Linked DNA regions of Saccharomyces cerevisiae S288C. The gene in region 2 interacts genetically with the main gene of each other region. Each region holds a gene or a part of one and is shown on either strand. Other genes may lie near its edges.

Region 1 (8,765 bases), 230 kb from region 2:
CTTTTGTTCGAGTCTGAGGAAGTTAATCTAGCGGTTTCATTTTGATTGATTACAATACGTGGTGAAGACGTAGTATTGTCAGAAATGTTAGCAAATGAATAGTATCCATTTGATGAATAACCGGAATTTGTATTTGTATTGGAAGTGGATGTATAGTCTGATAATGTTTGAGAGTTTCCGTCTTCATCGCGAGAAACTCCATTTTCTGCTGCAAACACATCATTTAAAAGATGATGATTATTCAAATGGTACTCTTCTAGCGTTCCTCTTGGTAAACTTTCGTTAGACGGGAATTTAAAATCCATTTGATCGCCTCTAAACGACTTGGTTTTTGTCCTTATTGGAGCTCTGATGATCATTCCGTATGATATATTTGTTGTGATAATAAGCCAAATTTATTTGAGCACTATTGTTAAGTTAATTGTTCTTGTTTTACTTGTTAAGCCGTTAAGTTGTCAACCGAATTATCAAGCACTTAAATCTATATATACAACATATTTGTACAAGAATTGATGACCTGCTGAAAGCCCAGCAATCTGGTTATCCCAGTTGAACATGTTTAAGGATAGGCATATCGACTTCTTTATCTTACTAACCGAAATATTGAATTGCCTGTGTAATGAATGGCTGGAGCAGCCTTTTTTTTATCTTCGCCAGCCATCGCTTTTTTTGAATATTTTCCACATGAAAACAATGTATGAAAAATTCTAAGGCATCGCACCAAACTATATGAAGGGGAAGTGAGTTATTCCGCAAACAGCGAGTAAGTTTTTCGTTGTATTGATTGCCCATATTATATACCGTGTTGTGGGGGCAACAGACAGAAGTAGAAGAAAAAATTTTTGTTGATTTAACTGAAGTGATGGGAAGGACATTTATTCATGCTTCGAAAATAAAACATGCGGCACGCAAAAGAAAACATCATTCCAACTTTAGAACTCTGATCAAATTATTGAACAATGATGCCTATAAGATAGAATCATCAAAACCGTTGAAAAATGGTAAACTTTTCAAATACTGGAAAAATAGGCGTAGATTGTTTTCAAAGATAGATTCGGCGTCGATATATATGACTGATGAGCTGTGGTTCAGTGTGACGCCCGAAAGAATTGCCTGCTTCCTGGCAAATTTTGTTAAGGCATGCATGCCAAATGCCGAAAGAATACTGGATGTTTTCTGTGGTGGGGGCGGGAACACCATACAATTTGCCATGCAATTTCCTTACGTCTATGGAGTGGACTACAGTATTGAACACATATATTGTACTGCGAAAAACGCCCAAAGCTACGGTGTGGACGACAGAATATGGCTGAAGCGGGGATCCTGGAAAAAGCTAGTCTCTAAGCAGAAACTTTCCAAAATAAAGTACGACTGTGTATTTGGATCACCCCCGTGGGGTGGTCCAGAATACTTAAGAAACGATGTGTATGACTTAGAGCAACATCTAAAGCCTATGGGGATTACCAAGATGTTGAAAAGTTTTCTTAAACTAAGCCCTAATGTGATTATGTTTTTGCCAAGGAACTCTGATTTGAACCAGCTTTCTCGAGCTACGAGGAAAGTACTAGGTCCATTTGCCAAATGTAAAGTATTATATGTAAAGGAGAATGGATATATGAAAGGAATATTTTGCATGTGGGGGGAATGCTTTTTTAACTACGAACCAGCAAGTACGGAGAATAGTCGAAGGGAGTCGTCCGAAAAGGAAGAGCTGAGTTCTGAAAACGAAGAGCTCTCGAAAAGAAAAAAGCATGAATCCACAACAACGACCAAAGATAATACTGTAGACATTTACGACGTAAATGGTTAAACACTTGTTCAAGTTGAATCGTATGATAGAAAATGCAATGACTATGTTATGAATGTATATATAGCACATAAAGAGGATCGCTTACGTGAATTTGGGAATAATTAAAACGTTCTTTTAGCTGCGGCTGCTCGTCGATAGGAGTGATAACAAATTAAGAATTAGAAGGGATGTCTTTTTTTTCTACCAGCAAGTTGCCACGCGCTTCAGACTTTAGAAGAGGTAGTAGCAATCCCTTCGAATGAGGTTCGATTATATCTCTCACCATTCCACGATTTATCACGGAAATACCATTCAAAAATAAATAAGGCGACTGAATGGATTCCAAGGCAGCACTAGTATCGATATTTAGTTTATTTTGTTTGATATACTTTTCTAATTCATAGCCATGAGAGTGTTTTTCCAAATCAACAGTGGCCAATTCGGGTGAAATCTCAAATTCTCTTTGTAATAGATTTTTTAAGAAAATGGAGTCTGCTTGTGATGATTTAATGAATAATACCGCTGGAGAGGTTCTTATTATATCTAGAAAATCTGTTCTAGGGTCGAATTTTTTGTGATCGCAGTTTTTCTGCAAGGCCAGAGAAGATGACCGTGGATTTAGTGTTGTTGTGGTCGTCGCCGTCACGACATTATCAGTTTGGAACGATCTTGAAGAAAATTTTGATGTAGCTTTGGATGAGGGTTCTGGGATGTCGACTTCAACCTCGCTTTGAATATTTGAAATTTCTTCTTTGACTTTTTGGAAATTTAGTTCATTTTCATTACTTAGAAAACTGTCTGCTGTCTTTAATAAGTTTGGCAACTTGTAAACGAACTTCTTTTCACTTTCTTCCTCACTATTTTTTTTGTTTTCGCTAGGGTCAGCAGAGTTGTAGAATTCCAAGGAGTCATTCCATGTAAGTAGTAAGAAGCTAAATACGCCAAGCAAAACGAGTGTTAGCGATATTATTCTCGTACTTCTCTTGATTGCTGTGTGCTTTTTCAAAACTGATGAATCCGCTATCATCTTTAACTGTTATTTTCCTTTTTTTAATTGCTCTTTACTGTTCTTGGAACAAGAGATTATGAAGTCTATAAAAGAACATATATATAAGTATTTAAGAGATAAGCCTGATTCAAAGACGTTTGCAAGTTTCAGTCACTTGGCCTTAACAATCTTTATATATTAATCCCTTTAGTACCTGCACAATTAAGGCCGAGACAGACTCGAAACAACCCCAAAACTTCTTGATCTTTATTAGCTGATGCCAAATTTTTTGGTACCACACTGAAACGAACTTCGTAAATCCATTATTTGTGTATTTTCTTAACGAGAAGTGCCTAAAAACTGCCTTTTATGCGCTGTCTTCTGAGAATAGATCCCGTTCAAGGCAAGCGCCGGGCAAGCGGAGGCGCAGTCTACAGAACAATCCGCACAAGGAAAAAAGCACCCGAGATCTGGGACCCTCACCTAATCATTTATCGTTATCCACGACAGGGTGCGGTGATTGCTGTGTATTAATGAGTGGTTTCAAAGCCCTATCCCGCAGTCGTTTGGCACTCTGCAGGGCCTCAATCATTTTATCCTTCCTCTCGAGCATCTTCTGTAATTCGATCACTTCAGTGCCGTCACACCCAGTTAGCGACATTGCAGTATGACCACTTTTTTCTAGCGCCATGATCTTGTCTTCAAGTTTTTGAGTGTATTTCCTATATTGCCTTATTTGTGATTCCAAACCTTGGAACTTTGTTTCCAAAAGGGTGCCGACCTCAAAGGGAAGCATTTCTACAATTTCCATAATCTCAGAATCTTGCAAATCAACCACATCTTTATCTAGTAGTTTTTCACAATTCTCTAGTTTATATTTTAATACTCGATTCTCCGCTCTCATTAGAGCCAAATTCGGATCACCATCATTGCCGGTGGCTTTAATGTCTTTATAAGTACTTTCATTGGAAGATTTGGTTAAGGGCTCGCCAATGTTTGAACGGTTCTTCAATTCAGAGATCATCCTACGTTGTTCTTCCAATTGGCGTCTCAGTAGCTCAATGGTGCGATCTTTATCTCCATCGTTATTCCCGTTACTGATGATGGATTTTTTGGATACATGAAGTGCGACGTTTTTCGCTCTTGATGCAAACCTCAGCGTATTCATAGTTTCCGCTGCCGCATCATTTCTGGTGTCGACTGTACATATCGTTGTCACTATGCTGTCACCGCTTAGTGCCGGCTGCAATAATCTAGTCAATTTAGAATCACGATATGGAATGTGGTTGCTTGGGCTAGTGCCGTTATTGGTAGCATTTCCACTACTGCTGCTACTGCCACTTGCAGATGGCGAGGGAATGTTTGAGCCTACTGAGTTCATCTTGTCGGCACTGAGTTTGGATATCACAGTCCCCAAAGCAAGTAAGGATTTGTTGATGAATGAACCTTCCTTTCTCCTCTCTTGTTGCCCCGTAGCCCTTTCCGAACCTGCTAGGTCACACAACGACAATGTACTCGATCTTGAGGTGCCGTTCTTTACGTTAGTACTTGTTAAACGAATCAGTACAATGGCATGAGATCGTGAGCTTCTTGCATTGTAGTCAGTTTCGCCAATTTTCCTACTTTTGTCACCAACTGCAATCCACCTCAATAATTCTTCACTACTTTCACATCTTCTTTCGGTGAGACCGATAACTTTGACCCCATACTGAGAGTCATCTCTGATTTTTAATTCTACGCCCAATCCATTGCTGTTGCTCTTGCTCATATATAACCTTGAAGGAGTACTGATTCTACTACCGGATTCTTCTAATCCGCTTTCTAACAGGTCGTAAATCCTTTCATTGTAAATTTCGAGGTACGATATTATAACGTCGAACTTTTTATCGCCATTCATTGATTGTTCCATGATATTGGTAAATAAATACGACACAGATAAAGGAATTAGGCCTAGCTCTTGTTCATTTCCGCTCATTGTAAACGTTTTACCTGACCCGGTCATACCGTACGCAAATATGGTGGCATTAAACCCCATCAATAACTTATCAATCATTGGTTTACTGGTTCTTTCATAAACTTCCAAATTAGTGCAATGGGAAGCAAAAACATGATCGAACTTGAACTCTCCAATTTCTTCATGCACTATTGTTTTGTCATTAGTAATAAACCAGGGGTCTCTAACAAATGTATTGCTACCGTGATGTGAGTTGGATCTTGGTTGAGAGTACCTGGGCGATTTTAGCCCCACATGGTCACGGGAAGTTCCAACGCTCCGTGGTTTCGGCCGGATGGTCACAGTGATTGACCCAGTATATGTATCGTTTTTTCTCGAGTTGTTGTTAATACTGTCGCTCCGCCTGATCCTTATCCTACCTGGGTGAAGGAAGGGATCGGATTTGGCTGATACGGATCTTAGTGGGGAGTTACTTCTAGTGGAAGATGCAGAAATCGACTGAGAACCCGAATTAGAGGTGCTCCGTATGGAGTTTCTTGTCAGATTAGAAAACGATGAAGTTGATCGTACAGAGGGCGATTGTGGGATATTACTTGAACCAGAACTAGACCTCGTTGATGGCCTCCTTAAGCTTGGGCTCATTTTTTGAATCATCAATGGTGGTATTATGGTAAGAATTTTATCAAGTGTTCTATGTTTGCCTTGATTTCAAATGTTTCTAGAGCGCAGCCTGTGAATCTCTGCAGCCTATTTCTTTTTATTTTTCGCTTCTGCTTACATTGCTTTATTATCAATTGTTCCGCTATTGGAAAAGGATAAACAAGGAAATTCTCGAGCCGCATCATCGGGCTACCCGCATATAATGACATTATGGGCAGCAGCATAGAACAATGGATTCTAAAACTGAGGACAAGATGGTTTGTCTTGTTTTTTTTTTTTAAATATACTATAGTTTTTTTTATTGTTATCTACTTATAAAAGCTCTCTAGATGGCAGAAAAGGATAGGGCGGAGAAGTAAGAAAAGTTTAGCTCAAATTGCTTTGGCCAAACCAACCGCATTGTTGCCCAAATCGTAAATAGAATAGTATTTACGCAAGAAGGCATCACCAACGATGGCCAGTGGGCCAACAGGTTCTGGGAAATCCATTGGTGTAATTGCAGAGATACAGGAGCCTGAAACTTCAAGCGTGTAATCGTATGGCCCAATAGTGAAGTTGTAGCCATTGAAGTTGAAAATTAGATCAGGTAGATTGTCTCTGGTGTTACAGTCTAGAGTATATTGACCGGTCCAACCCTTCTTGGCCCCAATTTCAGCATTAATCATTTCAGCTAATCCTGATGGCAAGGTAATCAAAGAAGTACCAGTATCGATGGCGGCACCATGGCTCTCCAATTCGGCGTACTCGTCGCCTAAACCGATACCTTCAAACTTGACTTCCCAGTAAGCCTTACGACGAACAGGTAACCAAGTGATATCGCCCTTGAACTTAGACTCGTCAATACCACCAAAGGTGGCTTCACCGCCATTTTCAGTATCCTTTGAAGTGTCTCCCAAATAAAAGGCAAATCTCTTTTCGTCCAACAAATCTTGTTGAATGGCGTTGTAAAATGGAGGGACCACCTTATCAACAGAAATGGTATCGTAACCCAAACCCAAAATACCATCGAACTTGCCAAATGCAAATGTTAAGCCCGGCTCGCTGGTAGCCTCAGCGAAGTCTTGTTTTGGAATGGTCAAATCCCCGATGGACAAAGTGTCTTGAGAAATGTAACCTTCCAAAGAACCAGTACCATATTGAATGGCAAATTCAGTACCATTAGCTTTGTAGCTTGATGAAGCTTCATGATCGTATTTAGAATGTAGGAAACAAGCCAAGGAACCACATTCGTTACTTGGAACCCAAAGGTTTGAAGAACCAGTATCCAAAATAACCTTGAAGTTTTGAGGTGGAGTACCCAAAGTAATGTCAGTGTAATATTGTGCGTTCAAGTAATTTGTCAATGGAACATCGTGACCACCTTCAGTGAAGAAAGGATGCTCCCTAGAAAAAACAACTTCGGGGTTAGCTTTCTCAAATTGAGTCAAGTACTTTTGGCCTAAATGAGCTAAATGTTGCTCGAAAGTGACTTCTTTCATCTCATCGGACAACTCGTGTTTATAAATTTTAGCCTTGTGGACTTTTGCAGCAACTTGGTTGGCGCTGACCAACAACAAGGCCAATGGCAATAATGCTTTCAAGCTGAACATGTTAGTTTTGGTTTTTGTTTGAATTTTATTTGGATTAAATACTAGGTCACTAGGCTTTTTTTTTTTCTTTTCTTATAGAATTCTAATAGAAAAAACTTTTTATGAATACAGTAGGGTGAGATATACTTTTTGTTATTCTTCCCTTACGTGGTAGGCTTCTCAAATAAAAATAGAAAAGACCACTAAAATTTGATTATAAAGGCTTCGCTCAAAAAAGAAGAAGGTGGAATGAATAAATAGCAGCGAATTACCCAAACTTCTTTACTCTGTTCCCTTAACCAGTTGATAAGAGGTTACGAAGTACGGAAGTATGGCTTTTTATATAAATCCTAAAAAGGGCCGCCTCCGCCCCTTAATCCATCGACACCCGCAAATGAAATATAGTACCCGGAAGGCATAAGACGGGTTACAGCCTCTCCATAGATTCAATAACCGCTTTTGGTTATAGAAATAATCAGACCTCAGCAAATACAATTGAGGAGCTCAAGATATTGAAAACGGATTAACAAACTTTTTAAAATTATTTATGAGCTTGTTGTACCACATCAAGCAGGATTATGTTTTTTTCAGAACTTCTTTTTCTGATTCAAAAATTCATTAAGCATAACTAAAACTGAAAATCAAAACTTATTAATATACAAAAATCTATATATTTCAAAATGTAAATCGTATCAAAACGTCACTCTATATGTAATAAAAACCCAAAAAGTTATGAATAGATGAATTCTGAGTATTGGTATCTACCATCTTCTCTCTTAAAAAGGGGCAGCATTTTCTATGGGTATTTGTCCTTGGTTACGAAAATTGCAAATTCTCGGGGCCTTTTGAGGTTTGGTCCAATTTTGCCCTTTTAACCTTCTTACTAGGATCAATTTGTGATTGCGATAAACTTACCGAATGTATTCTCTTCAAAATGTTCCCCGTATTCGCATTAATCGGTGACTCTACCAAGTCGTTTAGTACCGAATTATTGCCGTTATTATTTGTATCGCTAACTGGCGGCTTCTTAGCCGACATTGATGAAGAAGAAGCCGAGGGTTGATTTGCACGTTGAGCTGCCATCATCTGGGTTAACTTTTTCACCAAATCTTTTTCTTCGGCTGTTTGCTTAAGTACTACTCTTTGTTCTTGTAACATACCTAATCCCTCGTTAAACAGACCTGTAGTATCGTTAATTTCCACTTTAAAGCCAATGACAAATTTATTGTTTTTATCCCAAATGATCTTGATTTCATCTCCGTCTTGTAAAAGGAATTTCGTACCCTGTATCATGCGGTTATTATTTAAATAGCTCACGTTAGTTCCGGTGTGGCAATACCAAATATCATCTAAACCTTGTGCCGGAGATTCATACATGCTTTTGCCTACAGCATGCCTCTTTTTGAAAATGAAGCAATGAACTCGAGACAACCTATTGTCTTCAATTTTACAATTGCAATCCTCGGATCTACCAATGAAAAATGGATTCACACCTTGCTGAATCTCCAGGCTTTCTTGAATAATGCTGTCAGGCAATGGTTTTAAAGTTAAAAACCTACCATTACCCTTTTTCTTTGAGCTCTTGACATTCTCAGTATTATTGGAATGTAAAAGTTTTTGTTCTCTAGTTTCTGCTTCAATGCTTTTGGGCTGTGTATATCGAATAGGGGCGTGTGCGGGTATTTTAAATCCTTGAATTTTTCCATCTTGGTCTTCCTGATCCTGTTCTTGAAGTTGTTGCTCCATTTGTAATTTCCTTTGCGCTTTGACAAATTCGTATTGAGCATCGTCCATATTTTCTAATAA
Region 2 (8,934 bases):
TTATCCAGGTTCAAACGGATTGCCAAAAATAGTCGATAACCTCGGAGTAAGCAAAGCAACAATATATTTGTTCTTCGAAAAGGTAAACTTCTTAACTTCTATAGAAGCATTGTACTAGTTCTCTCGAAGAAAAAAACTAAGAAAGCTATAGCTGTATCTTACCAAGCCATGAACTTGAGGAATTGGTAATCCTTATTAGGAAATACGCTAAACTAGGTAATAGCAGATGATTTACTAGCTTACTATCTCACACTAAGTCTGGCAACGCGCTTATTTTTTAATACTTTTATACGAACCAATGAAATTTGATCCTCCCCTTTTTCGTCTAGTTAAATGAAGAGATACAAGTAGGCCTTTCTATTGAGTACTTAGCAAGATATGTATTTCTAAGAAACATCAACAGTTTCAGCCCACAACCGATTCATAAAATGTCTGCCTGGAGGAAAGCTGGTATATCATATGCTGCATATTTGAATGTGGCCGCTCAGGCTATCCGTTCTTCATTGAAAACTGAATTACAAACCGCTAGTGTTCTTAACAGATCGCAAACAGATGCTTTTTATACCCAATATAAAAATGGCACTGCAGCTTCTGAACCCACTCCAATAACAAAATAGTTTAACGCTTCCTGGGAACTGCAGCTCTTTTTTTACTCGCTGATATACATTTTAAATATTCTAGCAACTGTGTATGAAAACTTACGTACTTTTATACGGGAAACTAATAATGACTACAATGATATTGAATACTGGCCGCTTCGAAGAGTGGTATAAAGTTTGTATCATTGCATTAAAAGAAAAAGAAATATATGTCCCATCATCGCCAATCGCAATGTTGAATGGTCGTTTACCACTTTTGCGGCTGGGCATATGCAGAAACATGCTGTCCCGTCCCCGACTGGCTAAACTGCCATCTATAAGGTTTCGGTCTTTGGTCACCCCTTCTTCATCGCAGCTCATTCCTCTCAGTCGGTTGTGTTTAAGGTCACCTGCAGTTGGAAAATCACTAATTTTACAAAGTTTTAGATGTAATTCATCCAAAACAGTTCCAGAAACTTCTCTGCCTTCAGCCTCTCCCATATCTAAAGGATCAGCAAGGTCGGCACATGCAAAGGAGCAATCTAAAACTGATGACTATAAAGATATAATAAGGTTATTTATGTTGGCGAAACGGGATTGGAAACTGCTTCTTACAGCCATACTTCTTTTAACCATATCATGTTCCATAGGCATGTCTATTCCTAAAGTCATAGGTATTGTCCTTGACACACTTAAGACGTCATCTGGATCAGATTTTTTTGATTTGAAGATACCGATTTTTTCTTTGCCTTTATATGAGTTTCTTTCCTTTTTTACTGTTGCTTTACTGATTGGTTGTGCTGCTAATTTTGGTAGATTTATATTATTGAGGATACTAAGTGAGCGTGTTGTTGCACGCCTAAGGGCAAATGTCATTAAAAAAACGCTTCATCAAGACGCAGAATTCTTCGACAACCATAAAGTTGGGGATTTAATTTCTCGTTTAGGATCTGATGCTTATGTTGTTTCAAGATCAATGACCCAGAAGGTCTCGGATGGGGTCAAAGCCCTAATTTGTGGGGTTGTTGGCGTGGGGATGATGTGTTCTTTGTCACCTCAACTATCAATATTGTTACTATTCTTCACTCCACCTGTTCTTTTTAGTGCCTCAGTGTTCGGGAAGCAAATTAGAAACACCTCTAAAGACCTTCAAGAAGCTACTGGTCAATTGACTAGAGTCGCTGAAGAACAACTCTCTGGTATCAAGACGGTTCAGTCGTTTGTTGCTGAAGGTAATGAATTGTCTAGGTATAACGTTGCAATTAGAGATATTTTTCAGGTGGGAAAAACTGCGGCATTTACAAACGCAAAGTTTTTTACTACAACTAGTCTCTTAGGTGACCTAAGTTTTTTAACCGTCCTTGCGTATGGCTCCTATCTTGTTTTACAATCACAGCTCTCCATTGGTGATCTGACTGCATTTATGCTGTACACAGAATATACGGGGAATGCGGTATTCGGCCTTTCTACCTTCTATTCGGAAATTATGCAGGGTGCTGGGGCCGCTTCCAGGTTGTTTGAATTAACAGATAGGAAACCTTCCATTTCACCGACTGTGGGACACAAGTATAAACCAGATCGTGGTGTTATCGAATTTAAAGATGTTTCATTTAGCTACCCTACAAGGCCTTCTGTTCAAATATTCAAGAATTTAAATTTTAAAATTGCGCCAGGATCGAGTGTTTGTATTGTGGGCCCTTCAGGTCGTGGTAAATCTACAATTGCACTCTTACTGCTAAGATATTATAATCCCACTACTGGGACTATTACGATAGATAACCAAGATATCTCTAAATTGAATTGTAAATCCCTAAGAAGGCATATTGGTATCGTTCAGCAAGAGCCGGTACTGATGTCAGGTACTATTAGGGATAATATCACTTATGGGTTGACATATACCCCAACAAAGGAAGAAATCAGGTCAGTAGCAAAGCAGTGCTTTTGCCATAACTTTATCACAAAATTTCCGAACACATACGATACGGTAATTGGTCCTCACGGCACCTTACTAAGTGGAGGACAAAAGCAGCGTATTGCGATTGCAAGGGCTCTAATCAAAAAGCCAACTATTTTGATTCTTGATGAAGCTACATCAGCTTTAGATGTTGAAAGTGAAGGAGCCATTAACTATACGTTTGGTCAACTAATGAAATCAAAATCGATGACTATTGTTAGCATCGCGCACAGGCTAAGTACGATCAGAAGATCAGAGAATGTTATTGTCCTTGGCCATGATGGATCAGTGGTAGAAATGGGCAAATTCAAAGAATTGTATGCGAATCCAACAAGTGCTTTATCGCAATTACTTAATGAGAAAGCGGCTCCTGGGCCATCTGACCAACAACTGCAAATAGAGAAGGTCATCGAAAAGGAAGATTTGAATGAGAGTAAGGAGCATGATGACCAGAAAAAGGACGATAATGACGATAATGATAATAATCATGATAACGACAGCAATAACCAGTCTCCAGAGACGAAAGACAATAATTCAGATGATATTGAAAAATCTGTCGAACATCTCCTGAAAGACGCGGCAAAGGAGGCTAATCCAATTAAGATCACACCACAACCGTGAGTCATCCGCATCGCATATACCCATTCTTATCTCGCACATTTAAATATATACTATATATAATACTGTTAAATGCCAAATAAAAAGGATTTTCATTACCCGAATCGATACTTTTGGTAGCATAAACAAATAACATTGAAACAATAACAAAGTGTAATGTGGCCGCACGAATCTTTGTCTGTAACAGCCTTAAAGATTTCAGTAGCACTGCCATGGATAATGATGGACCCAGATCTATGACCATTGGGGATGACTTCCAAGAGAACTTTTGTGAACGTTTAGAAAGAATTCACAATACATTACATTCAATAAACGATTGCAACTCATTGAATGAGAGTACCACAAGTATATCAGAGACATTGTTAGTTCAATTTTATGATGATTTGGAGAACGTTGCCTCGGTAATTCCCGACTTAGTCAACAAGAAAAGACTGGGAAAAGACGATATTTTGTTGTTTATGGACTGGTTATTATTGAAAAAATATATGCTATATCAATTTATTAGTGACGTTCATAATATTGAGGAAGGTTTTGCTCATTTGTTGGATTTACTAGAGGATGAATTCTCGAAGGACGATCAGGATAGCGACAAATACAATCGATTTAGCCCGATGTTTGACGTCATAGAAGAATCTACACAAATTAAGACTCAGTTGGAGCCATGGCTTACTAACTTGAAGGAATTATTGGATACGTCATTGGAATTTAACGAAATTTCAAAGGATCATATGGATACATTACATAAAATCATTAATAGCAATATATCGTATTGTCTGGAAATTCAGGAAGAAAGGTTCGCGTCCCCGATACGGCATACTCCATCATTTACCCTAGAACAACTAGTCAAGTTATTAGGAACGCATACGGAGACAACTGAGCCAAAGGTACCAAAATTTTCTCCGGCAGAAGATATTTTATCAAGAAAGTTCTTGAACCTAAAAAAAAATATCCCTCCAATTGAAAAAAGTTTGACTGATATCCTACCTCAAAGAATTGTGCAATTTGGGCACCGGAATATAACAAACATAACTACTTTGCAAACAATCTTGCAAAAAAAATACGAGCTGATAATGAAAGATTATAGATTTATGAATTCAGAGTTTAGGGAATTGAAAGTCGAACTAATCGACAAACGTTGGAATATACTCTTTATTAATTTAAATCATGAACTATTATACATTCTTGATGAGATAGAAAGGTTGCAGTCGAAATTACTGACAACAAAGTATACCAAAGATATCACTATAAGGCTCGAGAGGCAATTGGAGAGAAAATCAAAAACTGTTTCTAAGACATTCAATATTATTTACAGAGCATTGGAATTCTCACTTTTGGACGCTGGCGTCGCATCGAAGACAAATGAATTAGCTCAAAGATGGCTGAATATCAAGCCTACAGCGGATAAAATTCTAATCAAATCCTCCGCTTCAAACAAAATAGCTACTAGCAAGAAGAAGATTCCAAAACCGAAATCATTAGGCTTTGGGCGACCGAATAGTGTTATTGGAACTATAACCCAGGATTTCCAGGAGAGAGTCGCCATTAATGAAGGTGACAGTAATAAAACACCGGAAAATTCAACTACAGTGGCTTTGAAAGGTAAAAAGCTTGGTAAAGCGTTACTGCAGAAGATGAATATTAAACCTGCAACAAGCCCAAATTCATCAAATGCGATTAATCCATTTTTTGATCCGGAGTCGCCAAACAAAGGAAAACTGATACTAAGTAGTGTTCCTCCCTTACCTTATGACGAAACCGATGAAACCACCCTCCGTGTTTCTCGTGGGGAAAATGAAAAGTCACCAGACTCCTTCATTACATCTCGGCATGAAAATAAAGTACAGATTACAGAAACTCCTTTGATGGCAAAGAATAAGTCTGTGCTTGACATCGAAAAAGATAAATGGAATCATTACCGGTCCTTGCCCTCTAGGATCCCTATATACAAGGATAAAGTGGTGAAAGTCACCGTAGAAAACACACCGATAGCAAAGGTTTTCCAGACTCCGCCAACAAAAATCACGACACCTAATAGTCAAGTTTGGGTCCCTTCGACAAGAAGAAGAACCCGATTGAGGCCTCCCACCCCCTTATCACAGTTACTTTCACCAAGAGAAGGGCGTTTAGATAAAACCCCAACTTATTGATACTAACCTAAAACTGTATACTTATACATTTTTATATATCCTCCCTCTCACCCTCTCCATTCATAGAATTTGTAATACTAGTTTAAATAATGTAATATTATGTGTAATTTTAAATAGTCCATGAAGATTCCGCACGTTTTCATTTTACAGTTTTTGACACCTTTACCCGACGCTTTATAAAAAAAATAGTATAAGCATCACGACATAAGCAGCCTCAGGTCATTAAAACAATAAAAGACTGGGAATTATAAACGTACAACGGTAAGGTCATTCACGCAGTGTATATGAATGACTGAAAGTGCTATAGATGACCAAAGGTTTAATCTTACAAAGGAGTTACAACGACACTCATGCAGAGATCAAGGGAAAATAACACAAAAGGATGATGCTTTAGATTTTATAAGTTACAGTTCTTTTCAATCCTCTTTTAATACTGACCAAAAAAGCGCGAACAATGGAAGTACTGTGAGAAGAAGCATAAGGTCGATTTTTAGAAGAGCAGCCGAATTGCCTAGAGTCCATATGGGGCCTCTTACTTATTCACATGGGATAAATGAGCTTGTTAACAAGAAATTAAGAAAAGACTGTGATCTCAGCACGCTATGTCGCGTATTGCAAAGAGGAATCAGGATGATTAGGATGACAAGAAGAAGAAGGAAGTTCTATGAATTTAAATTAATCAATAACAACGGGCAAATAATATGGAAAGATGGTTCGAAGTATCTGGAATTAGACTCCGTTAAAGACATCAGAATCGGTGATACGGCGAGTACTTATCAAGAGGAAGTAGATCCGAAAAGATTGAGATCGGACAGTAAACTTTGGATTGCTATTATTTATAAGGTTTCCAACAAATTGAAAGCGTTACACGTAGTTGCTTTGAATGAATTGGACTTTAACACATTCTTAAGCTGCATTTGCGGTTTAGTGAAGTTAAGGAGGGAATTAATGGAAAGCATACTTTTGCCTGATAATTCGCAATTCGCTAGGATACATTGGCAAATTACTGTTTCTGAAAAAGAGGAAGATGAGAAAAAGGACACATTGAGCTTTGCAGATGTGAAGAAACTATGTGATAAATTTCATATTTATGTGTCAACTGGTCAATTGTTAGAGTTTTTCCAATTAGCAGACATCAATCATAACGGACTATTAAATTATTTTGAATTTGAAAAGTTCATTAAAATCTTAAAGAATAGGAAAGAGGTAAATATGATTTGGTCTAAATTTACAAAACCTCCACACTCCCACTTATCATTTGAAAATTTTTTTCAATTTTTAATTACAGAGCAGCATGAGCAAGTGGATCGTCAAACTGCATGGTCATATTTTATTAAGTACAGAGAACCGACTCAGCTGACGATGGGGCAAGATGGTTTTACCAAGTTCTTGAAGGAGCAACCATATTTGGTGGAGGTTAAAGAGGAGTTATATTCAAAGCCATTAAACCATTATTTTATTGCATCTTCACATAATACTTATTTATTGGGGAAACAAATTGCAGAAACTCCATCTGTGGAGGGATATATTCAAGTCCTACAACAAGGTTGTAGGTGCGTAGAAATTGATATATGGGATGGTGAAAATGGGCCAGTGGTATGCCATGGATTTTTAACGTCAGCTATTCCCTTAAAAACAGTTATACGCGTGATAAAGAAGTACGCTTTTATAACGTCTCCGTATCCTTTGATTATTTCACTGGAAATAAACTGTAACAAGGATAATCAAAAATTGGCAAGCCTGATAATGAGAGAGGTTTTAGCAGAACAGCTGTACTTTGTTGGCACAAGAACTGATAAACTGCCATCACCAAGGGAATTAAAACATAAAATACTGTTGAAATCCAAGAAGACGAGTGAAGCAACTAGAGGTCTTAGCGTTAATGAGCCATTTCCATCTTCTTTTAGTTCTTCTTACGAATCAGCTAATGAACAGGAATTAAGAATGAAAGATGACTCCACGAACAGTAGTAGCGCAACAAATTCTTCTAGTATGCAACGCATCAAAAGAATTGGATTAAAAAAGCACGCTGATATAATTAATGATGTTTCTAACATTTCTGGAATACATGGCATCAAGTTCAGGAATTTCTCTTTACCAGAGTCCAAAACGATAGCGCATTGTTTTTCACTGAATGAGCGCAAAGTAGAATACATGATAAAAGACAAACACTTAAAATTATCGTTGGATAAACATAATAGAAGATATTTGATGAGAGTCTATCCTCACGTTTTACGATACAAATCATCAAATTTTAACCCAATACCTTTTTGGAAGGCCGGTGTACAAATGGTGGCTACGAATTGGCAAACTAATGATATTGGACAGCAACTTAATCTGGCAATGTTTCAAATATTAGATCACCAACCTGATGGAAGTTTTAAATCAGGATACGTGCTAAAACCAAAAAAGTTGCTACCTGTAGTAACAAAGGCGAAAATGATTCCATTAATTTACGAACATTTTGAAAATGGTAGTGATCCTGTTACTGTTAAAATTCGAATTTTATCTACACAGTTATTGCCCAGATTGAATGATACATCGCCAAGCAGAAATAACACCAATTCCTTTGTTAAAGTGGAGTTTCATACCGATGACGAGCCGACAATGCCCATCTCAATCGATAAGGGTACAAGGATTTCTGCCACTGAAGCATCCACTAAGAGTTCTCAAGGGAATGGATTCAACCCAATATGGGATGCTGAAGTTTCTATCACATTGAAAGATACAGACCTCACATTTATAAAATTCATGGTTATCTCTGAAGAGACCCAGATTGCATCTGTTTGCCTTAAGCTGAACTATTTGAGGATGGGATATCGTCACATTCCGTTGTTTAACATGGAGGGGGAACAATACATATTTTGCACTTTATTTATTCATACACAAATTTTATAGGCGATCTTTTTCCGGCCAAATACACATATTCATAAATACGTACATATACCTACTTGCATATACCAACATGATTACCTAGAATGGATATATCAAATGGGACGACGAAGTACCACGACAATACACAATAACAACTTCTGTTTTTCGCTGATTGCCTTCTCTTCAGCAGAAAGTTGATGCATATTTCGCGTAGCGCGTTGACGCGTCTTCTTTCTGAAGTTTTGTGCTTTTGTTATCATACTATATAAAGTAAAAAGAAAGGAGAACATATTAAGCATTACTGAATTAGGATCCTTTGGAAGAAATAAAGTAAGAGACACTGAAAGATGATATCACCATCAAAAAAGAGAACCATTTTATCAAGCAAGAATATAAACCAAAAACCACGAGCAGTGGTAAAAGGCAATGAACTTCGTTCACCATCAAAGAGAAGGTCACAAATAGACACAGACTATGCACTAAGGCGAAGTCCAATAAAGACAATCCAAATTTCTAAAGCTGCACAATTTATGCTGTATGAGGAAACGGCTGAAGAAAGAAACATAGCTGTCCACAGACATAATGAAATATACAATAATAACAATTCTGTGAGCAATGAGAATAATCCTTCCCAAGTAAAAGAAAACCTTTCACCCGCTAAAATTTGCCCTTATGAAAGAGCATTTTTAAGGGAAGGAGGAAGAATTGCATTGAAGGACTTAAGTGTTGACGAATTCAAAGGTTACATACAGGATCCTCTCAC
Region 3 (8,089 bases), on a different chromosome or scaffold from region 2:
GAAACCGGAGTTACCTGGTGAAATTACTATCAACGACATCCAATCCGTCGTCCAAACCATCATTAAAGAAACACCCACCGCTTTCAACTCCCAGCCAAATCGCGCTGTTATCTTGACTGGTGAAACTCACAAAAAAGTTTGGGACGAAGTGACTAAGGCTATAGAAAGCCCTGCCGGTCAAAAGAGGCCTGCTTCAGCAAGGGATGAGGCCTTTGGTTCTGTAATCTTCTTCACCGACGACAAGGTAACTGAAAAGCTAAAGGCTGACTTCCCAGCGTACGCAGCTGCATTCCCTAGTTTCGCGGACCATACCTCTGGTGCCGCTCAAATCAACTCGTGGGTTGCCTTGGAGGCAATGGGCCTGGGTGGTCACCTACAACACTACAATGGTTACATAAAAGCTGCTTTGCCAAGCAAAATCCCTGAGTCTTGGACCGTACAAGCTCAATTAGTCTTCGGTACCCCAGCCGCACCTCCAGGTGAAAAGACCTACATCAAAAACGATGTTGAAATCTTCAATTAAGGAACAGTATATAAGTACAGAATTATAGGTATAGATTAAATGCGAACGTCAATATTATTTTCATCAGTCGTATTCTTGGAGACAGTCACCAGGCACAATGCCTCTATCTTCATTGAGGTATCTTTTATCGTCAACACTGACGTGAATAGAACCCTTTTGTGTATTACACTTTTCTACCAGACACCATCCATCGGTATGAGTGGCCAGAATTTTAACTTTTTCACCCAGCGAGATTCTTATTTCGTCTGTCAATCTAGGCTCGTAATCCTGAATAACTGTATATGTCTTCCCTAATTGGACGCTAGCCTCCCCATTATATTTGGAGTTTGGAGTAAGCGGCAATGGTTTAGAACGTGACAAATGTTGTAAATGCTGATACATTTTACTTTGTCTTCTTTTTTTCCTTTTCTTTAGTGGTTTTGATGGGGTGGGTATTATCAACTCGTGTTTCTCAGTGCTTTTATTGCAGTCATGATGATCATTGAAGTTGGTTTCCAAAGTTTGTTGTGCAGTAGTACCGTATATCACTGAATGGGGTCTTGCCGTGATTAGATCGATGTTATTGTTGCGATAAGATGTGATTTGTGAATCTGGCGTGGTATTACCCAAGTTATTCACACTGTCATTTGCATCCAGAGGCGTGTTATTATACTCCAAGATGGGCGATCGTTCGTCAGGCATTATATCTGACTCATTGAAGTAACCCTTACTTATCCGGGAGAGCATTTTCATTTGCTTCAGTTGTGGAGCCCCAGTTGGGGTCTTTAAAGAGGTCTTTGATAAGCCATAATCCTTAAAGTATGTAGAACCCCTCAAGAACCATCGAGATAGTGGAGATTCGTAACTCCATTTCTCACTCGTTTTTAACGCAGTTTTCTTTGAGGACACCGTTTTTTGAGAAGGTAAATCATTATACGAGGGCATGCTGGATTCAATATGGACAATATTCGGTGGTTTAGTATACAGGAATGCATCCACAACTTTCTCTTCCTCCATTTCGTTCACTTTGGGGTCTAACGAAATGTTTTTACCAGACCAAGCATATGGGTTCTTCACCGTTTTCTTAGGTGTCAGTATATGCTGCGGTATTATGGGTTTGGAAATTTTGTACTGTATTTTTGAAGACATGTTATCACCCGAGGTCCACTGGGTGTCGTTATACTTCTCAATATCACGATTAGAATATGAATTCTGATCCTCACACTTACTCTGCCAAAATAACCGTGAGAACCAATTAGTGCGGCGACAATATTCCTCTTCCCTTGGAATCGTAGCTGACATGGGTGGATTTGAAATGGACACCGAATTCCTTTTAAGGTAGAAATAACACAAAAGGATAAGTAATCCGAAACAGAATATTCCGATGGGAAGTCCGATTGAAAGCCCAATTGTGCTTGCTGAAGATGATTTTGGCTGAGCCGCCACATTAGAAAAGAGTAGATTAGACGGTGTAGAGCGTATTGATGTCGCTATTGTCGTTACTGTTGTTACACTCGTCGAGGAACTAGCTTGCGAAGATATGTAATTTGATGCTAAGGTAGTAGACATTGCGGCGACTGTCGTCAGCACAGTTGTTGTCGTCTGCATTATTGTTGCTACCATTTTGATTTTCAGAAACTTGATGGCTTATATCCTGCTCTTAAAGGAAAAAAGATAAAGGATGTCGTATCCAAATATTTTAAGAGCAACACATACCTTACAAAGCCACTCTTACATTGTCATTTAAATAAAACCAATCCCGAGAATTACGTTATTTGTTTCAAATTACAGACGTTTCATGTTTGTTTCATCATCGCACCAAAATGAGACAGCGCGAAAAGTGACAGTGCAATTATGCCATTCAATACGTCAAAAAGGGCATCCTGCAGAGATACAACTCTGTTTTGAAAGGGTCCACATGGTAAATATGGAAGCAAAAGAAGGATTGAGGCATCACTGACAACAAAATTGTCTTGCAGCCCAATTAATAAAAAAAAATAAAGTTATATATATAAACAAATACGTAAACAAAGGATAGAAGGCGAACTGAATCATCGTTCAGTAGCGGTTCTGGTTGCCGTTATTGTTCTGTTGAGAAAAGTTGCCAGAAAAATTGAAGGATTCGTGCTGTCCATTGGAGTTCTGGTTTCCGCCGTATTGCGGTCTTCCGTACTCATTGGATTGCTGTTGACCATTCTGTTGCGGTCTACCATACTCATTAGCCTGTTGCTGGCCCCCATAACTCGAATTTGAATTGGAGTTATTGCCCAGGTAGGAACTTGCCATGGAAGCCAAAGCTGAGAATGAACTGGAGTGGCCTTGTTGCTGCTGCTGACCCTGTTGTTGATGCTGATAGTTTTGGCCTTGTTGCTGGTATTGCTGCTGGTTGTTTTGGCCTTGTTGATTGTATTGCTGTTGGTTGGATTGAGTTTGTCCACCACCTAAGTAAGATTGAGCCATGGAGGCCAATGAGGAAAAAGCACCACCAGATTGTCCCTGTTGTTGTTGGTAACCACCGTTGCCACCTTGGTACTGTTGATTATTGTAACCTTGACTATTTTGGTTACCGTTTTGATAGGATTGGTTATAGCCCTGTTGACTATTGTTGGAGTTCTGATTATTATTGGAATGCATAAAAGAGCTTGCCATAGAAGCCAGTGCTCCAAAGGAGGAACCACCGGAGCTTTGATTTTGACCTTGCTGATTATTGTTGTTGGAATTCATGAAAGATGAAGCCAAAGACGCCAAAGCAGTAAAAGAACCTTGACCTTGACCTTGTCCTTGACCTTGACCTTGACCTTGACCTTGTCCCTGACCTTGGGAATTGTTACCTGACTTAAAGAATTGAGAAGCCAAGGCAGCCAGGCCGGAAGCACCCATACTTTGGCTCCCGCCGCCAGAACCACTTAGCATTGACATGACAGTCCCTACGTCAAACCCTCTGTTAGAAGAACCTTTATTTGATGAGTGTGTCATCACTGTGGCTAACAAAGCTAGTTTTCCTAGTTGCGTTTGGGAAGAACCCTTAGAGTCTGCCATTAAAGTGTTCATAAAAGATGAACCACCACCAGCAGCACGATCTTGCGAGGCGTCACTACCACCACTACGGTTGTCCATGACGTATCCTGCGATTTTTTGAATTAATGATTCAATAGTTGACATTTGCTCGTCATTGGGGTTCGACTGAGCTGCGGATGTCAACTTCGCAACAGCTTCTGCATGGTTTCCTTGAGAAAAATGAGACTCAGCCTCTGAGATTAACTTATCCGTATCCATTTCAGATCTTTGCTATACGTTTGTATCGCTATATGTACGTTCTTTTAATGAACTTTCTCCTTTCTTTATCGTGTAGCTTGCTTGGGTATCTTTTAATGAGTTGCGGACAGTGAGATTTTTCAGAAGGGCAATTGGCCAAGACACCAAAAACGTTTGGACGAGACAGGCATCAAAGGACAAGGTAAAAGGCGTTGAGCTGTGGCTGGCTGTGTATGCGTTTGAAATACCATGGATAGATATCAAAGAAAGATAGGATGTTTCATACAAATCCCAAATTTGGGGCGCGGACAACTGAAATACGTGGGTCCAGTGGACACGAAAGCTGGAATGTTTGCTGGTGTAGACTTACTTGCCAACATTGGTAAGAACGATGGATCATTCATGGGGAAGAAGTATTTTCAAACGGAGTATCCTCAAAGTGGACTATTTATTCAGTTGCAAAAAGTCGCATCATTGATCGAGAAGGCATCGATATCGCAAACCTCGAGAAGAACGACAATGGAACCGCTATCAATACCCAAAAACAGATCTATTGTGAGGCTCACTAACCAGTTCTCTCCCATGGATGATCCTAAATCCCCCACACCCATGAGAAGTTTCCGGATCACCAGTCGGCACAGCGGTAATCAACAGTCGATGGACCAGGAGGCATCGGATCACCATCAACAGCAAGAATTTGGTTACGATAACAGAGAAGACAGAATGGAGGTCGACTCTATCCTGTCATCAGACAGAAAGGCTAATCACAACACCACCAGCGATTGGAAACCGGACAATGGCCACATGAATGACCTCAATAGCAGCGAAGTTACAATTGAATTACGAGAAGCCCAATTGACCATCGAAAAGCTACAAAGGAAACAACTACACTACAAAAGGCTACTCGATGACCAAAGAATGGTCCTCGAAGAAGTGCAACCGACTTTTGATAGGTATGAAGCCACAATACAAGAAAGAGAGAAAGAGATAGACCATCTCAAGCAACAATTGGAGCTCGAACGCAGACAGCAAGCCAAACAAAAGCAGTTTTTTGACGCTGAGAATGAACAGCTACTTGCTGTCGTAAGCCAACTACACGAAGAGATCAAAGAAAACGAAGAGAGAAATCTTTCTCATAATCAACCCACTGGTGCCAACGAAGATGTCGAACTCCTGAAAAAACAGCTGGAACAATTACGCAACATAGAAGACCAATTTGAGTTACACAAGACAAAGTGGGCTAAAGAACGCGAACAATTGAAAATGCATAACGATTCGCTCAGTAAAGAATACCAAAATTTGAGCAAGGAACTATTTTTGACAAAACCACAAGATTCCTCATCGGAAGAGGTGGCATCCTTAACGAAAAAACTTGAAGAGGCTAATGAAAAAATCAAACAGTTGGAACAGGCTCAAGCACAAACAGCCGTGGAATCGTTGCCAATTTTCGACCCCCCTGCACCAGTCGATACCACGGCAGGAAGACAACAGTGGTGTGAGCATTGCGATACGATGGGTCATAATACAGCAGAATGCCCCCATCACAATCCTGACAACCAGCAGTTCTTCTAGGCAGTCGAACTGACTCTAATAGTGACTCCGGTAAATTAGTTAATTAATTGCTAAACCCATGCACAGTGACTCACGTTTTTTTATCAGTCATTCGATATAGAAGGTAAGAAAAGGATATGACTATGAACAGTAGTATACTGTGTATATAATAGATATGGAACGTTATATTCACCTCCGATGTGTGTTGTACATACATAAAAATATCATAGCACAACTGCGCTGTGTAATAGTAATACAATAGTTTACAAAATTTTTTTTCTGAATAATGGTTTTGCCGATTCTACCGTTAATTGATGATCTGGCCTCATGGAATAGTAAGAAGGAATACGTTTCACTTGTTGGTCAGGTACTTTTGGATGGCTCGAGCCTGAGTAATGAAGAGATTCTCCAGTTCTCCAAAGAGGAAGAAGTTCCATTGGTGGCTTTGTCCTTGCCAAGTGGTAAATTCAGCGATGATGAAATCATTGCCTTCTTGAACAACGGAGTTTCTTCTCTGTTCATTGCTAGCCAAGATGCTAAAACAGCCGAACACTTGGTTGAACAATTGAATGTACCAAAGGAGCGTGTTGTTGTGGAAGAGAACGGTGTTTTCTCCAATCAATTCATGGTAAAACAAAAATTCTCGCAAGATAAAATTGTGTCCATAAAGAAATTAAGCAAGGATATGTTGACCAAAGAAGTGCTTGGTGAAGTACGTACAGACCGTCCTGACGGTTTATATACCACCCTAGTTGTCGACCAATATGAGCGTTGTCTAGGGTTGGTGTATTCTTCGAAGAAATCTATAGCAAAGGCCATCGATTTGGGTCGTGGCGTTTATTATTCTCGTTCTAGGAATGAAATCTGGATCAAGGGTGAAACTTCTGGCAATGGCCAAAAGCTTTTACAAATCTCTACTGACTGTGATTCGGATGCCTTAAAGTTTATCGTTGAACAAGAAAACGTTGGATTTTGCCACTTGGAGACCATGTCTTGCTTTGGTGAATTCAAGCATGGTTTGGTGGGGCTAGAATCTTTACTAAAACAAAGGCTACAGGACGCTCCAGAGGAATCTTATACTAGAAGACTATTCAACGACTCTGCATTGTTAGATGCCAAGATCAAGGAAGAAGCTGAAGAACTGACTGAGGCAAAGGGTAAGAAGGAGCTTTCTTGGGAGGCTGCCGATTTGTTCTACTTTGCACTGGCCAAATTAGTGGCCAACGATGTTTCATTGAAGGACGTCGAGAATAATCTGAATATGAAGCATCTGAAGGTTACAAGACGGAAAGGTGATGCTAAGCCAAAGTTTGTTGGACAACCAAAGGCTGAAGAAGAAAAACTGACCGGTCCAATTCACTTGGACGTGGTGAAGGCTTCCGACAAAGTTGGTGTGCAGAAGGCTTTGAGCAGACCAATCCAAAAGACTTCTGAAATTATGCATTTAGTCAATCCGATCATCGAAAATGTTAGAGACAAAGGTAACTCTGCCCTTTTGGAGTACACAGAAAAGTTTGATGGTGTAAAATTATCCAATCCTGTTCTTAATGCTCCATTCCCAGAAGAATACTTTGAAGGTTTAACCGAGGAAATGAAGGAAGCTTTGGACCTTTCAATTGAAAACGTCCGCAAATTCCATGCTGCTCAATTGCCAACAGAGACTCTTGAAGTTGAAACCCAACCTGGTGTCTTGTGTTCCAGATTCCCTCGTCCTATTGAAAAAGTTGGTTTGTATATCCCTGGTGGCACTGCCATTTTACCAAGTACTGCATTAATGCTTGGTGTTCCAGCACAAGTTGCCCAATGTAAGGAGATTGTGTTTGCATCTCCACCAAGAAAATCTGATGGTAAAGTTTCACCCGAAGTTGTTTATGTCGCAGAAAAAGTTGGCGCTTCCAAGATTGTTCTAGCTGGTGGTGCCCAAGCCGTTGCTGCTATGGCTTACGGGACAGAAACTATTCCTAAAGTGGATAAGATCTTGGGTCCAGGTAATCAATTTGTGACTGCCGCCAAAATGTATGTTCAAAATGACACTCAAGCTCTATGTTCCATTGATATGCCAGCTGGCCCAAGTGAAGTTTTGGTTATTGCCGATGAAGATGCCGATGTGGATTTTGTTGCAAGTGATTTGCTATCGCAAGCTGAACACGGTATTGACTCCCAAGTTATCCTTGTTGGTGTTAACTTGAGCGAAAAGAAAATTCAAGAGATTCAAGATGCTGTCCACAATCAAGCTTTACAACTGCCACGTGTGGATATTGTTCGTAAATGTATTGCTCACAGTACGATCGTTCTTTGTGACGGTTACGAAGAAGCCCTTGAAATGTCCAACCAATATGCACCAGAACATTTGATTCTACAAATCGCCAATGCTAACGATTATGTTAAATTGGTTGACAATGCAGGGTCCGTATTTGTGGGTGCTTACACTCCAGAATCGTGCGGTGACTATTCAAGTGGTACTAACCATACATTACCAACCTATGGTTACGCTAGGCAGTACAGTGGTGCCAACACTGCAACCTTCCAAAAGTTTATCACTGCCCAAAACATTACCCCTGAAGGTTTAGAAAACATCGGTAGAGCTGTTATGTGCGTTGCCAAGAAGGAGGGTCTAGACGGTCACAGAAACGCTGTGAAAATCAGAATGAGTAAGCTTGGGTTGATCCCAAAGGATTTCCAGTAGATTATTTCTAACTTGGAAACCGAACACTAACGAAAATAATATGTATATATACATATATATATCAAACAAAATACAGTCTTGAATGAATAGAGATA
Region 4 (7,771 bases), on a different chromosome or scaffold from region 2:
AGAAGATCACTCACAAATATTCTTTATCGTGGGACAATAAGTTTTGGAAACAACTGAAAACGCTAACCTCATCTACCATGACTTCTATCAAGTACTACTGGGGCGGCCCTGATGATAATCACCAAAGAAAGCATTTATGGGAGGAAAGAATAGAGAAAGTGAATGACCTGAAAATGTGGCTTGAAGAAAATAATAATACTTTTGTGGTTATAAGGGGGCCTAGAGGTTCAGGGAAACATGATTTGGTCATGCAACACACTTTGCAAAATAGAGCAAATGTTTTGTATTTGGATTGTGATAAATTGATTAAGTCCAGAACAGATCCTATGTTTTTAAAAAATGCCGCTAGTCAATTGGGTTATTTCCCAATATTCCCATGGATTGACTCTGTCACAGGTGTCCTTGATTTAACAGTGCAAGGATTAACAGGGCAAAAAACTGGGTTGTCTGAGACGAAGGAATCTCGGTTTAGAAACATGTTAACTACCTCATTGATGTCCATTAGACGTATTGCTCTCAAGAATTACAAGGCTTTTGTTTCCACCGGTGATGGGACAGTTAATGTTAAGGAAGAAGATTACCTACAGCAACATCCGGAAGCTAAACCCGTTATCGTCATAGATAGGTTTGAGGGCAAGTCGGAAATAAATGGATTTGTGTATAAGGAACTATCCGATTGGGCAGCTATGCTAGTTCAAATGAATATTGCTCATGTGATTTTCTTAACGGAAACCGTTGCATCCAACCAAAGATTGAGCGAATCACTACCCAATCAAGTCTTCAAAAACCTAATCCTATCAGATGCCTCAAAAGAGAATTCGAGGAACTATGTATTATCCCAATTGGAGGATTACTTATATTACAATAAAAAATCCAAGGGTGAAAACGTAAAAGAACCTGAATCAGAAAAGGAAACTGCTGAAAATAATGATTCTGATAGTGAGGCCGATACGAGTGTCAAAAAAGCTGAGGTTATTTTAAATGAAAAGGAATTACAGGAAATTGACGCTTCTTTAGAGCCATTGGGTGGTAGGATGTTAGACTTACAGGCATTTGTAAGAAGGGTAAAGTCAGGAGAAGAGCCCTCGGAAGCAGTAGACAAAATGATTGAACAGGCTTCTGAGCAAATAACTCAAATGTTTTTAAGTGACAAGATTGACAGCAATAAAAGTGCACAAGCCTGGGAATTAATCGAATTATTGAGTGCGAACCCAGTCATTCCATTCCATGAAATCGTTAACAAGCCATTATTCAAAGCCGCACCAGAAACGGGAATCATGGAATTGGAGAATAATGGTTTAATAACTGTATCTAGAGATAGGGGTGTTTTACAGGAAATCAGGCCTGCCAAACCGCTATACAGGGCAGCATTCACATACTTGATCAACGATCCTGAACTCGCAAAAGTGCTAAAAACCCGTTACTTATTAAAGGTTGTGGGTTTTGAAACTGGTAGAATCAAGAAATGGGAAGAAGAATTAAAACCTTTGGGGAAAGTTCCTGATCAGAAACTTTTCAAGACCAGATTGGACTATTTATCCGGTAAAATCAATGCCAGTAATGCAGTCATTACCAAATGTGAAGAAGAAATTAAAAACCTATCTAAGTGATGAAACAAAACTTACTATTCTGCTTTTCTGTACATATGTGTAAACCCTATATTGCTATACTCATCTATATTCTTTTGAAAATGTATAAAAGTGACGATTGGAGATGGTGCAATTTTCTACGCAGCATGAAAAATATCTAAGGAAGGTAAGGTACATACCAAGTAAGTCTTATAATATGTTGTTGTACCTCACTTTACCATTCTTAAAGTCTTTAAAAGAAATTACCTTACCCAATTTGCACAGCAAAGGTCACTGACCTATACGTGCCCTTCATCAGATTACATCACGTGAAATTTCACTGGGAAAGAGCGCGAGGGCTTTCCGATGACTTTCTACATTAATAATCGCAAACAAAGCAATCAGCACAGCAAAGAGTACAATTTCGAAAATTGCGACAGAGCAACGTAAGTATATCGTTGTTGATAGATTCCACTCCAACCTGCAAATGCTGCTTCTTCCAAGATGTCCTGTAATTGGGCGAATTGTAAGATCAAAATTTAGATCTGGTCTAATCCGGAACCATTCGCCCGTTATATTTACTGTGTCTAAGTTATCAACCCAGCGGCCTCTGTTATTCAATTCAGCTGTGAATTTATGGAATCAAGCACAAAAGGATATTACGCACAAAAAATCCGTCGAGCAATTCTCGTCGGCTCCAAAAGTGAAGACTCAGGTAAAAAAGACCAGCAAGGCCCCAACCCTCTCGGAACTGAAAATCTTGAAAGATCTATTTCGCTATATTTGGCCCAAAGGCAACAATAAAGTGAGGATAAGGGTACTGATTGCCCTTGGACTGTTGATATCCGCCAAAATTTTAAATGTTCAAGTACCTTTTTTTTTCAAGCAAACTATTGATTCAATGAATATAGCATGGGATGATCCTACAGTCGCCCTTCCGGCAGCGATTGGATTAACCATTCTTTGCTATGGTGTTGCAAGGTTCGGCTCTGTTTTATTCGGCGAACTGAGGAACGCCGTATTTGCCAAAGTGGCACAGAATGCCATTAGAACTGTGTCGCTACAAACTTTCCAGCACCTTATGAAGTTAGATTTGGGATGGCACTTGAGTAGACAAACGGGTGGTCTGACGAGGGCCATGGATAGAGGTACAAAGGGTATATCTCAAGTGTTAACGGCCATGGTATTCCACATTATCCCTATAAGTTTTGAAATATCTGTCGTTTGTGGGATTTTGACGTATCAATTCGGTGCGTCATTTGCCGCAATAACATTCAGTACAATGCTTTTATACTCCATTTTCACTATAAAGACGACCGCATGGAGGACACATTTTAGAAGGGATGCTAACAAGGCCGATAACAAAGCTGCCAGTGTGGCTTTAGATTCTTTAATTAATTTTGAGGCGGTAAAATACTTCAACAATGAAAAATATCTTGCAGATAAGTATAATGGCTCCTTGATGAACTATCGTGACTCTCAAATTAAAGTATCGCAATCTCTAGCATTTTTGAACTCCGGCCAAAATCTAATTTTTACTACTGCCCTAACTGCAATGATGTATATGGGTTGCACCGGCGTTATTGGTGGCAACTTGACAGTTGGTGACTTGGTTCTAATTAATCAGTTGGTTTTTCAACTATCAGTACCGCTAAATTTTCTTGGTAGTGTTTACAGAGATTTAAAGCAGTCTCTGATTGATATGGAAACGCTATTTAAGTTAAGAAAAAATGAAGTCAAGATTAAAAATGCCGAACGTCCCTTAATGCTTCCAGAAAATGTTCCCTACGATATTACTTTTGAGAACGTCACGTTTGGATATCATCCCGATAGGAAAATTTTAAAGAATGCCAGCTTTACCATCCCAGCAGGCTGGAAAACCGCAATAGTTGGGTCTTCGGGCAGTGGGAAGTCCACCATTTTAAAATTAGTCTTTAGATTTTATGATCCTGAAAGCGGAAGGATCCTCATAAACGGTAGAGATATTAAAGAATATGACATCGATGCCTTGAGGAAGGTGATTGGTGTGGTACCACAGGACACACCACTTTTCAATGACACTATCTGGGAAAATGTAAAGTTCGGTCGTATTGACGCAACCGACGAGGAAGTGATAACTGTAGTTGAAAAAGCCCAGCTAGCACCCTTAATCAAGAAATTACCACAAGGTTTTGACACCATCGTCGGGGAGCGAGGGTTGATGATCAGCGGTGGTGAAAAGCAAAGGCTGGCAATTGCAAGGGTACTATTGAAGAATGCAAGGATCATGTTTTTTGACGAGGCCACAAGCGCCTTGGACACACACACAGAACAAGCTCTCTTACGAACCATTAGAGATAACTTTACTTCGGGTTCGAGAACGAGTGTATACATCGCACATAGACTGAGGACAATTGCAGATGCAGACAAGATCATAGTCCTTGACAACGGAAGAGTAAGAGAGGAAGGTAAGCATCTTGAACTGTTGGCTATGCCAGGGTCATTGTACCGCGAACTTTGGACCATACAAGAAGATCTGGATCATTTAGAGAATGAACTAAAAGACCAGCAAGAACTATGAACGCTCGTAAGTAAATATTGATTTATACATGTATAAGTTTTTCAAGATTTAAGGAAAAAAGAAAAGTTATTATCTTTCTCCGCGGTTTTTCAATGACCCGATGTATTGACTCTTCCTGACCGAAAATAACAGGACAGAGTTAGAACGAACATGAATAATAAAATATAATCTGGGATCATGAATCCGAATGACTGCTCATGCGGCAAATGTCAGAGCTTCGGTGTATTTAAAGTTTGCTTACTTACAATTTCAATAATAGGTTTGTACTTTTCAGATTCTTATTATTAAGTCAAGGTAAAGTCCTTCGTTTTTTTTTTTTTCATTTTAGAAAAATTTCAACAGCCACCGTACAATTTTATTCACTTTTAAGTCATAGTTGCGAAGACATCGTCTTGAAAGTAGTAGATTTCGTTCTAATAAGTTTAGCAAAGAAAGAGGTACAGCAAACAGCAGAATAGAAAAAATGTGTGGTATTTTAGGTATTGTATTAGCAAACCAAACCACTCCAGTAGCTCCGGAGTTATGTGATGGATGCATTTTTCTACAACATCGTGGACAAGATGCAGCTGGTATAGCTACCTGTGGTTCTCGTGGTAGAATCTACCAATGTAAAGGTAATGGTATGGCTCGTGACGTATTTACCCAACAACGTGTTTCCGGTCTTGCTGGTTCCATGGGTATTGCCCACTTGAGATATCCTACAGCCGGGTCTTCGGCTAATTCAGAAGCGCAACCATTTTACGTCAATAGTCCTTACGGTATTAACTTGGCACATAACGGTAACTTGGTGAATACTGCATCATTGAAGAGATATATGGATGAAGACGTTCATAGACATATTAACACGGACAGTGATTCGGAGTTACTATTGAATATTTTTGCTGCTGAACTGGAAAAACATAACAAGTACAGAGTTAACAATGAAGATGTTTTCCACGCGTTAGAAGGTGTTTACCGTTTATGCCGTGGCGGTTATGCTTGCGTTGGTTTACTTGCCGGTTTTGCATTATTTGGTTTCAGAGATCCAAATGGTATTAGGCCATTATTGTTCGGTGAAAGAGAAAATCCGGACGGCACTAAGGACTATATGTTAGCTTCAGAAAGTGTTGTTTTCAAAGCTCACAACTTTACTAAATATCGTGACTTAAAGCCTGGCGAGGCAGTTATCATCCCTAAGAACTGTAGCAAAGGTGAACCTGAGTTCAAACAAGTGGTTCCTATTAACTCTTATAGACCTGATTTATTTGAATACGTATATTTCGCCAGACCGGACAGTGTCTTGGATGGAATATCAGTTTATCACACAAGATTGGCTATGGGTTCTAAATTAGCGGAAAATATTCTAAAGCAACTGAAGCCAGAAGATATTGATGTTGTTATTCCCGTCCCAGATACTGCAAGAACATGTGCACTAGAATGTGCTAATGTGTTAGGGAAGCCTTATAGAGAGGGCTTTGTTAAAAACAGATACGTGGGCAGGACATTTATCATGCCAAACCAGAGGGAAAGGGTTTCTTCAGTAAGGAGGAAGCTTAACCCTATGGAGTCTGAATTTAAGGGTAAGAAGGTTCTGATAGTGGATGATTCTATTGTCAGAGGTACTACTTCAAAAGAGATTGTTAACATGGCCAAGGAATCCGGTGCAACAAAGGTTTACTTCGCTTCAGCTGCCCCAGCCATTCGTTACAACCATATTTATGGTATTGACTTAACAGACACAAAGAACTTGATTGCTTATAACAGAACCGATGAAGAAGTGGCGGAAGTAATCGGTTGTGAAAGAGTCATTTACCAATCATTGGAAGATTTGATTGATTGTTGTAAAACTGATAAAATAACCAAATTCGAAGATGGTGTATTTACCGGAAATTATGTCACTGGTGTTGAAGACGGTTATATTCAAGAATTGGAAGAAAAACGTGAATCGATCGCAAATAATTCATCAGATATGAAGGCTGAAGTCGATATCGGATTATATAATTGTGCAGATTATTGATAGATTGTTCCGAACTTGTTCAGTTGTATGTAAAATAGTTTCCAAATGCGCCCATTTATACATAATTATCTTTGTATTCTGACCTAAACTAAATATATATATATATATGCACGTATTAAAAAAAAAAATAAAAGCAAAAAGGTAAACAAAGAGAAGTAATCCGCAACTTGTACAAAAAGAAAAGAAGATAAAAGAATTGTATGTATTAATGGATAATTGTAATGCCTGGGACAAATTATTGTCTCAGAATGAATCCACAATCAACAGCACAGAGACTGCTACGATAACAGCAATCATATATTCCCCATCAAGTAAAACACTGCATCAATTTATAAATATCTGTTTTCCAGAGGGAAGCAATTCAATACTGGATACCACTTTGATTAATTACGCCACCATAGGATGGACCAACGACTTAAAGGAAAATTATTCTGTCGATGTTTACACGCTAATAAGAAACACTGACGATGCACTAGATCTTCTAAAGCCGTTTTTACAAGAACATAGTTCGAAGGTTCGCTGGCTCATATTATTAGATTGGACACTGAACGACCAAAAGTTGTGGCTGAATGAACTATCCTACGCATTCAATAAAATTAAGCAACTGAATGACGATAATGAATTTTCTGTATGGTGCTTAAACAGTGGCGAAATATTAAACTTACAAAGACACACTACAGTATGGCAGTCAGTACATATTGACTTCATTTTGCAAACGTTAAGATCGTTTTGCTATTTTAATGATAGCTCACTATTCTATATATGCGAAGACCATACCGAAGAGAAACGAGAGGAAGCACAAAGGCTTAAATACCAAGAGCTTCTAAAGCATTTTTGTGAAGATAGAGATATGAAAGATCATATTGAAATGGTCAAACGCAGTGAGATATTAATACCGAAGGGGTGCGATTCTATTGGATTGATAAAAACAGTAGACGAAAGATTTGAGCCTACTGAGGTGAAAGAGCAACACTTTTTGGCCCGATATATGGACTTTATACCAACAATTGATAAAATCAGAGAAGATAGGAAAACAACCTCTGGTATCGACCTTGATAAACTATATCCTTTAGAAGTTTTCAAAGTTAATATTCAAGAGGAATTAGGCAAAATGTTCGCAAAATATAGGGAAAATTCGAGGATTTAGGAAAGTGGGCAGGCGATACTTCTTTTATCATGAGCAATTTTTTTCTCTTTATATGTATAAATATAGATATGCACACGCATTTATAAATCCCTATATCAGGGTTGGATTTCTTCTATGTTTATGTATGTAAAAGAAAGAATTCACATGTGATAAATTGTGGAATCAGCACATAGTTCTTGAACCAGCTCAGAGTCTGTGTCGTACCCGACATAAGCTACGTAGCCAGGTTCACCTTTATCTTCGTGAATTGGGTAGTGGACGGGTGGAACATTATCATTCTCGATGATACAGAACGAGAGATGTTCATCATTTGGTTCATAATCTCTAGTGATTCTCTTTACTATAGTTTTATATTCGCCTCTTTTGTCACAACTTGGCCCACCACGTGCCCAAAGCTTGATTACTGAGCCAGACTGGGGTTCTTTGATTGGGGTACAATGGAACCATTCATAGTTAATTCTTGTACCATACTTGAAGTATTCAACCGCAGCGATCAGCAA

What was found.
Region 1: mutations in KAR9 (region 2) and KIP2 are lethal when combined (synthetic lethality), as found in Saccharomyces cerevisiae (5 studies listed by BioGRID, with this or other methods).
Region 3: mutations in KAR9 (region 2) and BIK1 are lethal when combined (synthetic lethality), as found in Saccharomyces cerevisiae (7 studies listed by BioGRID, with this or other methods).
Region 4: mutations in KAR9 (region 2) and DYN3 impair growth when combined (synthetic growth defect), as found in Saccharomyces cerevisiae (4 studies listed by BioGRID, with this or other methods).

What each region holds. Positions count from the first base shown.
Region 1 is NC_001148.4:253,952-262,716, forward strand, and holds KIP2 (Kip2p), read right to left. Parts: upstream 5,386-8,765; coding exon 3,265-5,385; downstream 1-3,264. Other genes in the region: AIM44 (Aim44p), read right to left, coding at 1-359; TGS1 (RNA methyltransferase), read left to right, coding at 863-1,810; pheromone-regulated protein PRM4, read right to left, coding at 1,962-2,816; PEP4 (proteinase A), read right to left, coding at 5,763-6,980; serine/threonine/tyrosine protein kinase RAD53, read right to left, coding at 7,776-8,765. UniProt on the Saccharomyces cerevisiae protein: Required for assembly of the mitotic spindle.
Region 2 is NC_001148.4:29,651-38,584, forward strand, and holds KAR9 (Kar9p), read left to right. Parts: upstream 1-3,362; coding exon 3,363-5,297; downstream 5,298-8,934. Other genes in the region: ATP15 (F1F0 ATP synthase subunit epsilon), read left to right, coding at 429-617; ATP-binding cassette permease MDL2, read left to right, coding at 832-3,153; PLC1 (phosphatidylinositol phospholipase C), read left to right, coding at 5,586-8,195; ACM1 (Acm1p), read left to right, coding at 8,519-8,934. UniProt on the Saccharomyces cerevisiae protein: Involved in karyogamy. Component of a cortical adaptor complex that orients cytoplasmic microtubules. It may be involved in anchoring cytoplasmic microtubules to the cell cortex.
Region 3 is NC_001135.5:65,839-73,927, reverse strand, and holds BIK1 (Bik1p), read left to right. Parts: upstream 1-4,006; coding exon 4,007-5,329; downstream 5,330-8,089. Other genes in the region: HBN1 (putative nitroreductase), read left to right, coding at 1-523; FUS1 (Fus1p), read right to left, coding at 587-2,125; prion domain-containing protein RNQ1, read right to left, coding at 2,561-3,778; HIS4 (trifunctional histidinol dehydrogenase/phosphoribosyl-AMP cyclohydrolase/phosphoribosyl-ATP diphosphatase), read left to right, coding at 5,595-7,994. UniProt on the Saccharomyces cerevisiae protein: Required for nuclear fusion, chromosome disjunction, and nuclear segregation during mitosis. Probably required for the formation or stabilization of microtubules during mitosis and for spindle pole body fusion during conjugation.
Region 4 is NC_001145.3:863,912-871,682, reverse strand, and holds DYN3 (dynein light intermediate chain), read left to right. Parts: upstream 1-6,332; coding exon 6,333-7,271; downstream 7,272-7,771. Other genes in the region: YME2 (Yme2p), read left to right, coding at 1-1,610; ATP-binding cassette Fe/S cluster precursor transporter ATM1, read left to right, coding at 2,056-4,128; ADE4 (amidophosphoribosyltransferase), read left to right, coding at 4,592-6,124; sphingosine N-acyltransferase subunit LIP1, read right to left, coding at 7,412-7,771. UniProt on the Saccharomyces cerevisiae protein: Component of the cytoplasmic dynein which acts as a motor for the intracellular retrograde motility of vesicles and organelles along microtubules. May play an important role in the proper orientation of the mitotic spindle into the budding daughter cell yeast.